Oreochromis niloticus: one gene and its partner. The protein of the gene in region 1 interacts with the protein of each later gene in a pairwise test. Links are inferred from orthologs where the notes say so. Each region holds a gene or a part of one and is shown in the gene's direction. Other genes may lie near its edges.

What was found.
Region 2: the proteins of cep19 (region 1) and cep43 interact in binary tests that used the Homo sapiens proteins (3 or more experiments, as listed by UniProt). The two-hybrid records come from large-scale screens. The link is inferred for Oreochromis niloticus from reciprocal best matches to the Homo sapiens genes CEP19 and CEP43.

Annotation. Positions count from the first base shown.
Region 1 is NC_031986.2:38,135,529-38,144,036, reverse strand, and holds cep19 (centrosomal protein of 19 kDa), read left to right. Parts: upstream 1-5,293; 5' UTR 5,294-5,467; coding exon 5,468-5,597; exon of another isoform or gene 5,598-5,639; coding exon of another isoform or gene 5,640-5,656; intron 5,657-5,973; exon of another isoform or gene 5,974-6,048; coding exon of another isoform or gene 6,049-6,128; coding exon 6,129-6,475; 3' UTR 6,476-7,947; downstream 7,948-8,508. Other genes in the region: pigx (phosphatidylinositol-glycan biosynthesis class X protein), read right to left, coding at 3,145-3,282, 3,378-3,478, 3,904-4,117, 4,245-4,380, 4,472-4,559, 4,885-4,957. UniProt on the Homo sapiens protein: Required for ciliation. Recruits the RABL2B GTPase to the ciliary base to initiate ciliation.
Region 2 is NC_031980.2:25,517,868-25,526,007, forward strand, and holds the start of cep43 (centrosomal protein 43), read left to right. Parts: upstream 1-4,896; 5' UTR 4,897-4,945; coding exon 4,946-5,029; intron 5,030-5,906; coding exon 5,907-5,960; intron 5,961-6,478; coding exon 6,479-6,533; intron 6,534-8,140. Other genes in the region: mboat2b (lysophospholipid acyltransferase 2b), read right to left, coding at 895-949, 1,024-1,079, 1,164-1,259, 1,685-1,762, 2,208-2,353, 3,594-3,722. UniProt on the Homo sapiens protein: Required for anchoring microtubules to the centrosomes. Required for ciliation.

The DNA of each region.
Region 1 (8,508 bases):
CCCATGATCCCCGAAAAATAACACTGTTAAGCGGTGCTTTAGAAATCACTAAACATGCCAATTCGCAAACTATTCCGCACAAATGAGCTTTATTTAGCTAAAGAAGGCGACGCAGGAGCAGAGAAGCTTACCGGAGAATCCACACCAGTTAAACTTGATTAGAACTTCAGTCCCGAACGATCCTCGACGGTGTGCAAAACGTCTGTATATCCTTTAAAAGTTATTCCACCGTAACAAGTGCTCCCCGGTGGTACAGCCGGTGTATAAATAACTTAGTACAATGGTTACTCCAACTATTTACAGTGCAACTTTTCTTCTATCTTTTCGGCCCTTGGATAATTCCGCTATGGCGAAGGGGAAGCGGAACTACCGACCCAGCCCTGGCCTATTCAATAAAATGTTTCAAATGAATGGTGGGTGAAGACAGTCAGCTATCTTAAGCAAAGAAAAAAAAGAAAAGAAAAATCAGAGCCCGTGTGCAAAACCACACGGATCATAATGTGCAATAACACGTTTTTAAGCATTAAGAATAATAAAAATGTGAAACATGCTGAAACTTATTAAAGTGGAAGTTTCATTAGGTTTTAGGTAATGTAGTTCAGCATTTACAGACGTAATTTTCCAGCTGCAGAGCAATTATTTTGTTAATTATAACTATAATGTGGGAGGTTTCTCTCACTAATCTGACATTAATGTAACGTTTGTTTATTTTCCTGCCCTAGGAAATTTTAAATGGCCTAATTTTGAAAGCTTAATTTTATACTCAGATTTTTACAGCGTAAATGAAAGAAGAAGAAAAAAAGCCAATAACATACTAGCCAGTGTACTTTCTATACACACATCGTTGTTCATCACGCTGTGAGAAACAACAGAAAAATGTATAGACTTATGTTAAGTCACAAAGACTCATTCCAAATGAGGGCAAAATTTTTATAGCAACAACAAAAAATGCCTATTTTGAGGGAGGAAAAGCAATATAGACATATAATATGTTAGTTATATTAAAAAAAGGGAAGATAATAGGTTAACTACTTATTAGTTTTCCTGCAGTATAGTTCATAAACTAGTAAGAACTTATAAAGGTTCTTTAGCTTCCTTTAGGGGTTGCCACAGTGGGTCATCTGCCTCCATCTCACCTTATCCCAACATCTTCCTCAATTTTGTGATTGTGCACTTCCTGGTTCTTTCTAATGAAAATCTAAACATGTTCAACTCCGCCACCGCCAGGTTGGCCTCCTGAGTCTTTATCAGTGCCATCTCATCTCAGGTCTCTCTACCATCATGTAAACCTTCACTTTCACTCTGCTGCTATCCTTCAGTCACAAATCACCCCTGACACTCATCACCACCAACTCCAACAGATACAATTGACTTTATAACAAAAAATTTCTATATTTTGTGCATATAGTTATCAACTGAAGTTAAAATAGGGCTAGATTGTACTTTTCTGTATTAACAGTTTGTTCCACAAGATGGTGTAGAAAGTCAACATGAGAGGAAGAGGAAATATGGAGAAGCAGAGGAAGCACCTGGAAAGTAACCGTTATCAGCAGCAGCAGCATCACCTCCCAAAGGGAAATCAAGTAAAAGAAGAGTAAACATAAGTGCAGCTTTCCACTGCTGGAGACAGCTCATTGAAAATACAGGAGTTAATGAGCATGCTGAGTATATTACTGGTATGATAAAAGCTCTTGGTGCTAATTTTCCCAGTCAAAAATAGCGATCAAGCAAGATATCTAATGCTATTTGCAGTGGGTGTGCTCTTATTGATATGTAATTTAGACAAAAGACAGTTGTGTCACTGTATGTGATCATCTCAGGTAGAGAGTATATCCAGATCTTTACTGGGGGATCTCAGGTACATTTTCTTACTACAGGAGCTGGTACTGCCCCCGGTGGTGAAAGTTCTAGTTAAAACGTCACAGCCCATTGTTCCTTCTGTGGGCTGGTTTCAGTCATTATGCAAATGTCCTGTTTATAAGGTTTGGGGAAACCTGCAGTCAGCTGAGACTGAAGAAGTCACTTGGATGAGTGACGAAACGTTTCTCCCACAAAACGCTACGTCCAGATGAACAGATTCAACTTTTGGAGAAAGTTCTAGTTACATTTTACAGAGGATGATTTCAAAAACACTTCTACTGTTGACACTATGTGACTATGCACCTCTCTTTGCTCACTGGTGATCCATAATATGCTGCAGACTTAAATCTTTTTAACAAACTATGTGATTATACAATTTCTAAATTGCCCTAAGCATTTTCTCTGCAAAACAAGAAAAAAATTTGACTGGCTCTTCATTGACTGCATTGTGTGAAGGCGTTTCCATGTTGAAATAGGTTGTGTAGTGCCACATGCACTACCCAACAGGGTCAAGAACATACAACTACAAATGGAGCCTTTTAGGAGACCAAAACTGGATAACAGATGCAATAAGACAAGACAGATAAGCTGGAAGAATAAAAAACTTGTTTTGTCCTGACAGCATGCATGGCAGCACAGTTTGTCACTCATAAATCAAACGTCCAAACATTGGCACAGTATGACACCCGGTACTCTGTCTCAAATGGATATGACCTTTACCTCATCATGGCATTCTTTAAACTGCCACAAGAAAAGAATACTATTAACATTGTTGTTATATTGTATTTATAGCAGTCTGAACTGTATACATTTTATTCAGTGTTAAAATACAGATTATACTACTGTAGACTCCAGTTTTATAATCGTGTTATTATAATAGCCCATGTTATAGACAAAAATAAATGAAAATCACTACCAAATACCCCAAAACAGTACAAACTAATAGATTTTTATGTTCCTTAATTAGGTGCGCTAAACTGAACAGATAAAGAATCATGATCCTCCCAAAATGAGGTCATAGCAGGAAAAATGCTTGCACAGGTTGCGGGATTCACCAAAATAAACATAGTTACATTGGCTGGAATGGAAAAAGATAAATTCTGATATCTTTCAGCATTTATCTGTTGTTTCAGCAATATCTCAGTATTCTTTCCCATCTCAATTAGTCCTGTTCTCTGCTTGCAACATTTCTGCAGATAAGATAACAACACTGAAAGTGCCTCTTCCTTGTTAGTTTGATAAAAAAAAACAACAACAACATAATGCCAGTACAATTTTTGCTCTTTAAATTATTTGATGTTTCCACATGTATTTGGACAGTGCCACACAGCAGATCATTGTGACAAGAAGAGTCCCTCCGCATACGTGTGCCACCAAAGACCCATCACCCACTGGGAGCTGGAAACTCACTGGATTGAGATCCTATAAGGCAAAAAGGGAAACAATTGAATGATTGAGTTTTGTTTTTTTAAATCACCTTTTCACTCAAGATTTGGTGAAATATTGTACACAATCACCTGCTGAGGCTTGACTTTAACCCAAGAACAAGTGCTTGAATTGCTGGCAGTGCATGGTGCATCCACAACTGTGTGAGGCTCTAAGCTGCTAAGCTGTGCACCTGGATAAGAGAAATAGTTTTAGAAGAAAGTGTTTCAGAAAGCCAAACTGAAAAGTCACATTTTTTAAGTCACATTTTTGTTTTTATACTATAAAGTTTTGATCATTAAAGTTATTATATGTATGCAACCTATCCACAACCACAAAACTGAAATAATTTGGTAATATTCATTGACACTCCACTTTCATAGAAAACAGATACAAATTTAGGATTTTACGCTCCGACATCATTTAGTTTAATTATGCAGTCACGTAAAATTATATTGCAAACAGTAAGGTTGATTTAATGTATTTCGTTAATTTGTTTCATTACACATCATGACACAACATTGCATTTTAAATACCACATTTGGTTTACATTGTTTTCTTTCTGTATAGATTTACATAGTGTCAGAAATTGCTATAAAATAAAATGAATCCACTTACATTTTTCTGTCCGCAGCAGCAGCTCTGGAGCTTCTATGTCAACAGATTTAAACATTTTTCCATCAAATGAGGGCTTGTGGTAGCGACCATGTATTGGAATTGTTACTTTGAATAACTTGGAAGTTGGTCCAGTGGAGAAAGGATACACATAGGTGACAAATCCTGAAGCTTCGTGAGCAGGAACCTCAAGGTCAATGGGTGAATCTAGTAATATCTTACAAAGTTTAACACAGAAATAATTAAATAAAACATATACACTGTGCACATGTTTTGTACATGACTGTGGTTTGTAGTAGAATTTTACACTGCGTTATACTACATCTAGTTGCTCGGTGTCTTACCTTCCACTTGTTTTGATCGCTAAGGGATGCAAGTTGATATGGATCAACATAGACATCTCTGGGCCATCTATGAATCAGCAAAACTTTGACACCACAGAGCTCTTTGGATCTGAACTCAACTGTAGTTGTCACCTCCCTAAAACATATTAGAAAATATCATTGATTCTCCTGACAAGTAGCCCCAAAGGCAGAACAGCTTTCTTTTGAGAAAACAAACAACCGAATACCTGTGGAAACCCTTTTTGTTGAGCTCCACTGTCACTGATGAGGGCGCAAGCCACTGCCTCAGAAGATCACAGTGATTCTGAATCTCATCTGCACAAATTAGCAGGTTACACTGATCAGTATCTCCAGGTAAAAGCTTTTTGAATTTGAACATGTATCTATATTTTTGGAAAATCGCAGGATGGGATTAAAGATGCATTTGTTTTTCAAACTATGCTAGATTATATATGTCATGTTATCCATACAGGGGTATATTTACAGCACTTTTTTGTCTACTGTAAAAATACTATTCCTTCCCTCAAACAAAAAAACCAAAAAAAACCCCCAACAACTTAATTTAAATGACCTTCAATCAATAATAATGAGAGCTTATTGAATGACTATCGAGTTTTCACATAGAACCTAGCTCACGTACCCTTTTCACCCAAACAGTGACATTTCGAGAATAAGCTCAACGCAGAAACAACACAGAACAGTTTAAAATACATTAAAAATATAATGGCCAACGCTGAGACGCGTTTATAGGCTGTTTATTTAACTCAAGCACAGCTACCACCGCTTAAGCGCTTCTTTGAAGTGTTTACGGAAGATGATTTTTTGAAGGCCCCTTTTGTAGTTTCAGGGAGCCTGCAAATGTGCCTGTGTAGAGATTGAAAAACACAAGCTTTTAAGGAAACATTTAGTAACATTTATAGACATAGAAAGCAGTTTTCAGGAATAAAATGAATAATAATGATACGTGAAAGTTAAATGATTTTATATTAATTTTTTAAATCCGAAATTTAGCGTCAGGCATCCCAACAAACAGAAGCGTCTTTACGTAAAGGCTCTGCTGGCAACCTGGCAACGCGTAATCATCCCTGAAGCCGCTGCTCGATTTTTTTTTATTCATACTGTGCGCTAGTAGCAATAATTATGGCTGCGATGTTTCTGTTTTAAACATGTTTAAATTGATGGTCGGATTGGGTTAAGTTTGTTTGTTGTAATAGAAGTACAGGATGCGTTTTGCGGCAAAGCGCTGCGGGGTGCAGTTCAGCCCTCCATCCATAGTTTTAATTTATGAGCACACGGAAACCAAAAAGGTGCGAAAAAGAATAATACCTGTGCGAAATTTCTCCAAATACTCCGGTAAGGCACCACGGACACATTGGGACTCGTTCTCTGTGCTCCATGTCACATGTTACAAGGTAGCTACAATCAGTGTGAGAATATTATTTTAGCCTCGTTTGCTGTATATTAATAATTATATAATACTCTAGTAAATCTAACAAATCTGTCAGAGTCATGAGGCCCTGAAGTTTTGATTTCTATATCTCGTGGATAGCAGCAGGTGGATTACCTGCAAGCTGCTGAGCCTCAGGCTCCTATTTCTGACTAAAATAGGAGCATCTTACTTTGTTTAACTAAGGTCATTGCTAGTGAGTGTTAATAATAAATAACTAATATGTAATACATGGAAACATACATTTATCGTTCTGCGTTTTTTCCTTCCTGTTTTTGTTAGTCCATTTTTTGAGACATAGGTACTGTGATCAGAGCTGGAGTCGTGAATGCACACTGCATTAACATATGTATGTAGCTTATTTTGTTCTTGTAGATTGCCACGAAGTAGCTGGGCAGGACTACAACCATCCTATTACCTCATGCCGTCTCTTCCAGACTACAGCATGGCTGCTGAAAGGCTGAAGAACAACCCTCGACACAGGGACTACCTGGAGGGTGTCTCTCAGAGCCAGCTTGAGAAGCTTCACATTATCCTACGCGATCACATGCAGGGCTTCAGTCTGGAGCACAGCCTCTCCTCGTTCTGTCTGGACCCTGACGAAGACCTGAACAAACTGGACGATGAGGAGCTGGCACGCAAGAAAGGCCAAATGGACGAACTGTTTGAGAAAAACCGGAGGCACAAAGATGATCCTGACTTTGTTTACAACTTGGAAGTTGATTTCACTAAGACCACCTTAGAAAAGTGCAGCTGGGATGAAGAATCAGATGATGGATTTTAAAACTCTCTCTTCATCAATGTTTTAATTAAGAATGTAGATGTAAATCTATAGTGAGACTGCAGGAACATACAACCCAACTGTTGTAGATGGCAATGCTTCAATAAACGTCAATATAGTAGAAACACTATGCCTTTAATGACAAAAAAACCACCATGAACCTCCCTTAATGGCAAGCAAAGACCAAAGCCTGTTAATCAAGGGAAACTAGAGCTATGATTTTGTGTCTGTGTACCATAGCATTAATCTGTAAAAAACAAAACAAAAATAAAATAAAGGCATAAATGGTCATTAGGTAAGGTAACAATAGTAACTGTTACTATTGGTTTGATCCAGTTAGTCATAATTTATTTCACTTGAATGCTTCTTGATAGACAAAGTTAGGATATTTCTGGAATCCTGTAGTAAGTTATTTTTATTATATTTTTTAAAGACAGACCATTTCTTCAGCTGTAGCCTCATGGGCACTAAAATATATCTTAAAAAACAAGACTGTTTACTTATGGATTTTAAAGTCATAGCCTGGTCCAGTAATACGTTAGGTGATTTACAGATGTCAAGTTTCAAATCTGACACTTTTTAGAGGTGACTTCAATGCTGTCAGCAGAAATGTTGATTGTGCACGAGCTCTTAGTCACAACCAATAGAGATATTAAATTTACAACATCCAGTGACTGCAGTCTCTAACACTGATGACATAAAAGCACCTGTTTTAAGGCAAATTACTACACCCGAGATACTGTTACCCAAGTAACTAACCCATAGTTTAAGTTCGTTAAGCGTTTCCCTCAGGTAAGGGTTAATAAACTCCATTTTCATTAACTTGCTTTCGGGAACAGGCCTCCAGCAACACCTAAACTTCAGTCATGAAATGAAACAGGCACAGAGTCTAGAGGAACATTTCTAAATCAGGGGAAACAAAACCAAACAATGTTTGAGAACAACCTGATAATATAATGATAACAAACATAAAATTCCGTTTTAAGGTGCAATAAACAAAATTATGCATGGATAATAGTGAATCTTTATTTGTTATAAAATACTGAATTTTACAAAATACAAAGACTTTGGTTCTTTTATTTGTGGCTTACACCTAGATGAGTGATATTCACAGTTGAATATGAAAAGAAGATTCTAAAATCCTATTAAATAAAATCTGAGTGTACACCAGGAAGTAAGCAATACAACAAATATATCTTTGGGAAAAAAAAAATGTGTCCACAAAATAGTTTTATATCATACAAAATATATATACTTCCATATATATGGTTTGACATGATGTTCTATGGCAAAAGTTTTAAAAGAGATAAACTATATCATAAAACTAAGCCTGCATTATCAAACCTTTTAAGGGGAAAATGTCATTCAAAGTGCTTAAATACCTCATTCAGTTGACAATAGACACTGACTGACTGACTGACCATTAGTACCACAATACATTCAAAGATGTCGCAGGTTTTTGTTAAAATGCAATACAGAATGATTTTACATTGCTTTGCTAGTTTGGTTTAAGCTAATCAAAACAGTTTTTTACATTGTTATCAATTGCAGTCATTTTTGCAGTGCCGATGTATTCCCTAAGGAGGTAGTAACAAAAAAAAAAAAAACCTGACAATTCCTTTTCCCATCACCATTTACACATGGATTTGGGCAACTGAATTGTAAATTCTCAGCAGGCTGTTAATTTATTTAAAAGTCATTTATAAAACTGATATTTCAAGTATGCTTAAGACACAATCCGGGTTTTTGAGTTTCTTTTTACACACACACGCGCGCGCCTGACACACACACTCTCACACACAAAGCAAATGACTTAAGAGGAACAACTTTCTGAATGACAATTTGTGAAACTACACCCAGAAGATTACCCAGATTTACCCAAAGTAGACAAATAATACATAGGTAAACTAGTCATTTTAGAGCTACTGGACAAAGACAGGCATCTTGAAATCCAATAACACGGACATAGCAAAGCAACAAGTATAGATATACTCCAACTCCGGATTAGGCCTTTAAAGAAAGCTTTATGATCCACC
Region 2 (8,140 bases), on another chromosome or scaffold:
CCATGTTTCTGCCTGTAGTACTGACCCTTGTATGTGAAATAGGTGGAATTAAGACACAGTTCCAAAAGTAAACACACTTGGTCCGTGCTGAGAGTGGTCCTGTTGCTAAGGTTGGGGTCAACCTGTAATCTCTTACGAACTACCTCCAACGCTTCAGTGACTGGAACACTAGTGAGGAGAGTTGTAACATAGTATGAGACCATTGTTTCATTTGGCTCTATAATGACATCTCTCACCTTCTCAATAAAACCAAAGGTGTTCTGGATGTGCTGTTCAGAGCTGCCTACCATTGATTGATTAATGATCAAGGAACTGACCTCAGAGCCCATGTTTCATTTAGAGGGCTAATTTCAGTTATTGTGCAAATGTACTGTTCCTAAGGTTGAGGAAACCTGCAGTGAGCTGAGACTGAAGAAGCCACCTGGATGAGTGACGAAACATCCAGATGAACAGAATCAACATTTTGCAACTCCAACACTGCCGATAACGCAATGAAAAATGAAGGCTACAGAATGAGGATTGTTCATGCAAAGATCTACTAAGAGCAGGAAGATGACCATTCAAATGGTTCCGCTATGTCATGAGATCTGAAGGACTGATCCAGTAACCAACCAGGGAAAGTGACTCAGCCGAGGTCCTACCCCTACACTCGAGTCTGATTGCGTATTTTTTGTTTTTAGTTTAGATTAAGCTATTTTTTCATACTAAACCTGTTTTGCATGAACAGAAGTACAGCTGGAAGTTGCATCACTTTTAGGGAGAAGTTTTAGGGCAGAGATACCTTTGATTGACAAGTGTCTACCATGGAGGTATGGATTTTGTCTTAAGCTCCACCCTCCTGCTTAAACACGTTGATTTCTGCTCCAGTAAATAATGTTTCTACCTTGAACAAACCTTATTGCCAGAATCTTCTGTCCCGCCGTCAGATGTTCCTCCTTCCGAGCCATTCCTGTCAGAAACACAGAGTGGACAGTAAAACCTGCAGGATTTACTGAAAACAGCCCGTCTGAGAGTGCAGCTCACCGTCATGGATCTCAAATGCCAGGCTGGTGATCTTCTGAGTGATGACCATCATGGGGCTGCAGAGAGAGCAGAGGCAGAGGTTAGAGCCTGGACATGGGGAGGCGTTTAGGAGTGAATGGGCCACAGAGCGGAGGTGTTACCCTGTGAAATCGGCGGTGTACATGCCGTAGTCAAAGACGTACACTCGAGTGATCTGACACAGGCTCAGGTATGTGAGCGCCACTACTAGGCAGTACCTGGAAAAACACAGAGAGCAGGCCGTTATTCAACGTGGGGTCGGCGACCCTGACGAGCTCACTGAGGTCTGAGGACCTCTGTGATGATCTGGCTCACTCAGGTTCCTGACTGTAGCTCATGTGAAGCTCCACGGGTTTAAGAACTTCACCAGTCTGAAGTTTGCATCCTTTTTAGCACAGAACACCTGCTGCAGTCATGTTTGTTTGGCTGGAAGGACCACATTGTTACTTTTACGACATCCGAATCTGTGCAAGTCCTTTTGTGCCAGTATTCATGACCTAATGTTCACAGAGCTGGAAATAACTGAGGTCCGACTGTGAGCTGCTCTCCTGACATCACAGGTGATAAAAAGTTTCCTCATTAACCCTGAGCTCGTTAATGGCTTGTTAGTACCGTTTTAATCCGTGTCGTTTGTGACGCTCACTTGTGCATGTGTTCGACTCCAGTGAGGATCATGATGCCATAGGCGAGTCCGCTCTGAACCAGGAAGTGGAGAGCATACCTGTAAAACAAGGAGAACACAGACACCAGCTGACCAGAACACGTGACGTATCTGCTGCTGCTGTGACAAACGCTCACGTTAAACATAACAAGCATTGAGAGCTTGTTTTAGGGTCATCTGAGACACAGAGCGAATCAGAAGAAAGCTTTCTTAAAGGGGGAGGAGCTAAAATAAATTGTTTCAGATAGCGAGAGAAAGAAAGAAGGATTATAATTACTGTGAGTCATGCAAAGCTGCTCTAACAGCGGCTTCTTATTTAATCCAGTGACATCTGATGTTTTCTGCTCCTAACACGTCGTTATTGTGTCATTTTTCCTTTATAGCTGAGATGAGCGACACAGGCATGACAGTAAACCTCTATCAGAACTCTGATTGGTTCAATTTTAGGATAAGTCAGACTTTGGAGAGCTCAGTTTTATTGATCCTGAGTCACAGTCTGTCTTACCAGCCAAAGCAGAACATGGCGAAGTAGAGTCCCAGCAGCGTGGCCACCGCGTGCCGGATGACGGGACTGGTCTTACTGGGATGAAGGAAGAGACGAAACCAGAAGGCAGAGATCAGAGCGCAGAGCTGGCACGCCACGAAGTTCACCTGCAGGCGAAGCAAACAGACAGCGCGTCATTGGTGCTTCAGGATGTCCAGGTGAGAGAGGGCAGACCCACCCACCGTTGGACTGCTCCGCTTCCTTCAGGCTGACCCCTCACCTTCTCTAACACCTTCACTTAGAGAAGGTGACTGCGCTGCGTCAGAGAGGAGTCACATGACTCTTTCAGAGCCAATACAAGCACAAAATAGCCGCCTTTTTCTCCAAGCAGCTCCTCCTGCAAGAGGGCGAGGAGGAGGATCTTAATCATCATCAACACAGTAACAGCCATGTTAATGTCCAGACACTGTCTGCTACAGAGTAATACCAGAGTACTACCAGAATACTACCAGAATACTACCAAAATAATACCAGATTACTACCAGAATAACATCAGAGTACTACCAGAATACTACCAAAATAATACCAGATTACTACCAGAATACTACCAGAATAACATCAGAGTGCTGTTTGAGATGGAGTGACCTCGGTGAGGGTCGCACCTCCCGGCCTCCTTCTCGGAGCACCTCTGGCAGCGCCCACAAACTGGATTTCTCTCTGCAGACGATGACATCAGCCCACAGGAGATACTGGTGTCACCAGTACTTCCCCGTAAAACCAGTAAACAGAGGCAGCTGGTCACCTGATCCGGCTCCAGAGGCCTGGCTGTCAGCCAGTCAGAGGGGAGGAGCGTGCAGCTCACCAGGATCACCTAATGAAGGTCCATACAACCACACTGTGATCTACATCTGCTGAGTGAGCAGCTGCTCCCCTCTGAGTTCTGGACTGAGGAATGACCAATCAGGAGCTGACGTGGCGGTCATGGCTGTGCCTGGTTATCACCTGAGCAACACCTGCGTCAGAGAAGCTCCACACCTGACCCCGGAGCAGCCGAGACCTCCGCCCACAGAAATGTGGAGCCTCAGGAGCATCACGGGTGACAGCCCCCCTCCACCACCACCACCACCACCACCGACATGACTTCCCCCTTCACCATCATCACAATAGAAACCGTCCGCACAGCCGCACTCGTACATCCCCTCCCTCCTCCTCCTCACGTGAATGGGCAGCATGAAGCCTCTCCTCCATCACAGCTGCTGGAGTCTGCACGAGGCCTCCACCCTTTATTTTTACGGACAAAGACCCCTCCCTTCCCCGTCCTCGTCTCTCTTTGTCCCCCCGTCTCCGACCTCCGGAGCGGCGGCCGCCGGGGTCCGGGGTGGAGGTCCGGGCTCCGGCGGCTCTTACCTGGTCCAGCGGCAGGTCGGTGAGCTCACTGAGCGGCTGCAGAAGGCTGGAGCCTGTGCAGGCCGTGGATGGAGCTCCGTCGTCGGCCATAGCTCCGATGTTAGGCCGGCCGTGCTGCTTCTGATACATGCAGCTGCGCAGAGACGGCGGATGCTCCGTGATCCACCGGCGGTCCGTGCCCGTGCGTCTGCGCGTGCTTCTCTGCTTCCTGCTCCTCCTCCTCTTCCCCTCCGTCTGCCTCCTCCTCCTCCTGCTTTCTCTTCAGCTCAGTCTCAGAAACATCTTTTGGCATCTGGCTGAAGAACACACACACAAACAGCTCACCTCATCTGAAGGCAAAGTCTTTGTTTCATCGTGTGAGTATGGAAGGACAAAACTGACAAAACACTAAATCATTAACTAATAAATTAATTCATTTTTTTAAGTCTGTCGGTCGCACTCAAAACTGAGGCACTGACGGTGTTTTACTGTATGTGACAGCCATTCCTGATTTTATCAGAATCAGAATACTTTATTAATCCCTAGGGAAATTATGTGGGTTACAGTTATAGAATAATCCTTTAATTGTCCCACAAGTTGCGCCAGTACAGTAGCATTGACAAAAACAAACTAGACCATTTATCAATACAATATGTTAAGATATGAAGAATAGCCCAATATATACAATATATACAAATAATAAATATTCAGGGTTGACAGATGTGATTATAAATAAATATCAAGAAATTGACAGAAACATTACAGAGTAAGAAAGAGTGTGTGCAAAAAGGATGTAACTATTGTAGTGTTTAGTGTGTATTAGATGGACGAGTTGTACAGGGAGATGGCCACAGGCATTTTGGTAATCTCTGGTAACATTTTTGTATGCAGTATTCCGTGCAGTACAGTGCAGTATTTTTACTCACTGGGGATGTTATGAGTCTTCTATTTTATTTTTCGGCCCCTGTGAAGCTTTTTGTAGCAGAGGTGGAACGACTGCACAGTTATGGATCTGATGTGAAGACAGACTCGGTCTGGAGATACAATAAATACAAGGTCACAAACTAGCTCAGAAAGTTAGAAATCACACAAACGCTCAAATGTAAAAATAAAATAAAATAAAAGTGGAAATAAAATGAAAAACGTGACTCTGAATCCATCTCACGGACCGTGAAGTAAACTAAGGCGTTAACGCAGTTTGTTAAACAGGTAAATTATCCAGCTCCAACTCAGCCTGCAAGCCAGCAGATGGCATTCAGATCGGCTAAAGAGCAACAGAAGAAGAAAGGGCGGAAGTTGCGTCAGATTGTTTTGGTGTGTTGTCCTGGCAGCAGCGGTTAGCTACATTAGCATCTTTAGATTCAGACAGAAACATGTCAGCAGCCGAGGACGACACGGAGCTGCGGGACCTGCTGATCCAGAACCTTGAGAACAGCGGAGCTCTGAACAAGCTGAAGGTGAAAGGTCACGTTTAACGTGAGGCGCCCTGACGGCGGGATAGGCTACAGCTACCCGCAGCTAACAGGCAGCTAACGGCTACTAACCGGCTACTCAGAGACTGTTTTAGGTTTATTTTATTTAACCTGAGAGGAGAGATGAAGTTCTTATTGAGTGTAGAGGCTCAGCAGCTGTGTGAGCTCTGTTGCTGCTGGTGTCGATGAAGCAGGATCTGACCTTTCGAAAATGGAAGTACAGTTTAAACATCCGCGAGAGTAGAGGAGACATTTTATTACTAATAGCGTGTAACTGCGGCTCAGAGTAGAACCTCAAAGCTCACAGCCAAGAAGAAGAAACCTCACAGAACAAATAAAAATGGTTTTCCTTTTTTATTTCCTTTCACTCCCTGTTTTTGTCATGTGACTCGACAGCGTCAGGTGAATGGAGCTGAGAAAGACTCGCCTCCAAACCTGAAACCACTCTGATTTATATCTGATCAGTTTGTGACTTATATCTAAACTAAGCGCTGTGTGGATGGTGGAGGTCTAGTTTCGTGCGTGCTAACTTCAGCACAGGTGGGACCTGTTAGCCTAAAATCTGATCCAGGAGCAAGGAAGATTCGGGCCGAGTGCTCGTATAAAAATAATGTGAAATACAGCAAATGAATGAAACGCTGTTAGTCCTGCGACACGCTGGTGACCCGTCCAGGTGTGTCCCGCCTCGGGGAGAGGCTCCATCCCCCACGACCCTGAATAGAATGAGTGGAAGAAAACTGATGGATGGAAATGAAATAATATTTAGGAAACTCTTTTAGTTTGAAATGTCTGTCATGAATGACATGTATGTATTTACTGATTGGTTTCAATAACTGCCTGTATCGATGACATGTTCCTGCAGGCGGAGATGAGAGCGGCGGTGTTCCTGGCAATGGAGGAGCAGGACAAACTGGAGGTGAGTGATTCACACAGTGTTGATCAGTCAGTGCTGTCCGTCATTGTCCAAGATAAGGACAATGCTGGACAATACCTCCCACTCACTCTGTGAATGGTGGCCAGTCACAACAAGAGCATGAGATTACACGTAATGCAGCACTGAACAACCCCTCCATCTAATGCACAGCACACACTGAAATATCTGCACATAAAAAGGGCAGTGTTAACCATATCTATTTAATTTGTGTAGCATACTGAATTATTTATAATAAGAGCTATTTTGCTATATTTTAACTTTAGTTTAATCAGTTCCTGTTTTTAGTGTCTCGGATCGACTGTGACCACATCATTAATAAAGTATTCAAATTCAGGAACACGTGTGACAGCAGGTTCATGGTGTGTGTAGATTAAAATCAATCGTTCACTCTGGAAAAGTGAACAATTGTGGTGGGAGGAGTCAGGAAGCTGGGAGGAGTCAATGATGGTGTGACTGACCGCTTTGACCTGATCTGAGCTCTTGCTGATGTTTCTCCTCAGAATAAAAGTCCGCTGGTCAACGAGAACCTGACGAAATGTCTCAACACCAAAGACGGTGAGTTCCTCAACTTCCTCTTCCTGCCTGCAGCTGTGAGCAGGTTAACAGCGATGAAGGTCATACTGCTTCATGCTTGCTTCGTGGCTGTTAGTTTACAGTTTTACTAAATTCAGTCCAACAGAAAGACTCATCAGTGAGAGAGTTCAGAAAGGTTTAAATAATTTCAAACATGCTCTAAAGAATCCCTCACTGATGGGAGCACCCGCAAGCACCGCGGCGCAGCATCCGCAGGTTCACGATACGTTTCCTTCTTATCCTGATGTCATCGATCAGCTTCCAGACATCTGATTGGTCAGCTGGTGTGCGATTACAAACATAACCTGTTCTGAAGCAGGCCAGCCTGCAGTATGTGTTACCATGGCAATGAGTAGGAGCTGTGACAGCAAGGGTTAAGCCTGCAGTAACCTCGGTCAGCAGGCGTTGCAGCTCCTGTGTGCCCCACAGGGGGGCGCTGTGGCTTCAGCTGTCAGCTCGTCTCCTCTCAGACCACTGCAGGGAGCAGAGTTGACGAGCAGGAGTTCACCTGGATTTCAGGTGTTCATTGTGACGTTTACATGGTGTCGGTATTTTTATAAGCTGTGCTCCATCAGCAGGAATCCACTAATCAGAGCTCACTCCGACTCACACGCTGAGACTCTGGGTACATTATGTGACTTCCTGTTGGTATGTGATTTTCTGTCCTCTATTCAGCAGTGATGACAACGATGATGATGAAGATCAGAGCGTTGATCTCTTTGGCCCTCGAGGGTGTCACACAAACTTCACAAACACACAGCAGCAGGACGCCACACACATGCACGCACACACACTCGTTTAAACCACTGGGATCGAACTGGAGGCCTGCAGCTGAGTCCTGGTTGGTCTGTGGCATGAGTAGTGACACGCTCACACACTCAGTGGTGTGAAAGCTGAGCAGAGAGTTGGAGGTCAGGACGTGTTCGTCTGACCAAAAACCTGCGCCACGTTTTTTTTTGGTTTCCTGGTGACATCACAGCACTCTAATCTTGTGTGCAGTGGACACGAACTCTGCCTGAAACCCTTTAATGTGCCGATGAAGAAGAAATGAATCTTAATAACATCAGCTGTTTGTTCTTGTGTGAGGTGTCTGTGCTTATAAAGATCACATTCTCCCGCCTGCAGGTACAAACACCTGTTTGCCTTCAGCCACTGACTGAAGCTGAGCGAGTCTGTGGGTTTAAAAGTGAAAACCTTTGTTCGCTGCTTCAGAGGCGTGTGAAGAGTTTGGACGTGTCCAGGAGGATGTTTTTCACCTTTGGGATTAAATTGAATGAATAAAGCGAGCACGTCCGGTCAGCGATGAGACGCCGATGCTTCGTGTGGCCTTCAGGGACTAAATGATGTTAAACAATGAGAAGAAAAAAGCTTCATTAAAATTAGTTTCAGGGTCATGGGAGCAAAGTCACATCAATCAGATTTCAGTGTTTGATCTGTCTTACAGATCATGACTAGTGACACGCTAGGTAATCAATCAATACGTGAAATGATTGATGAGTGATAAGGATTGGTAGAACGCAGCATCAGATGATCTCAGCTGCTGAGGGAGAAGTTTTCCCTCTGATGCATCCTGATGATGGTGATAGTGA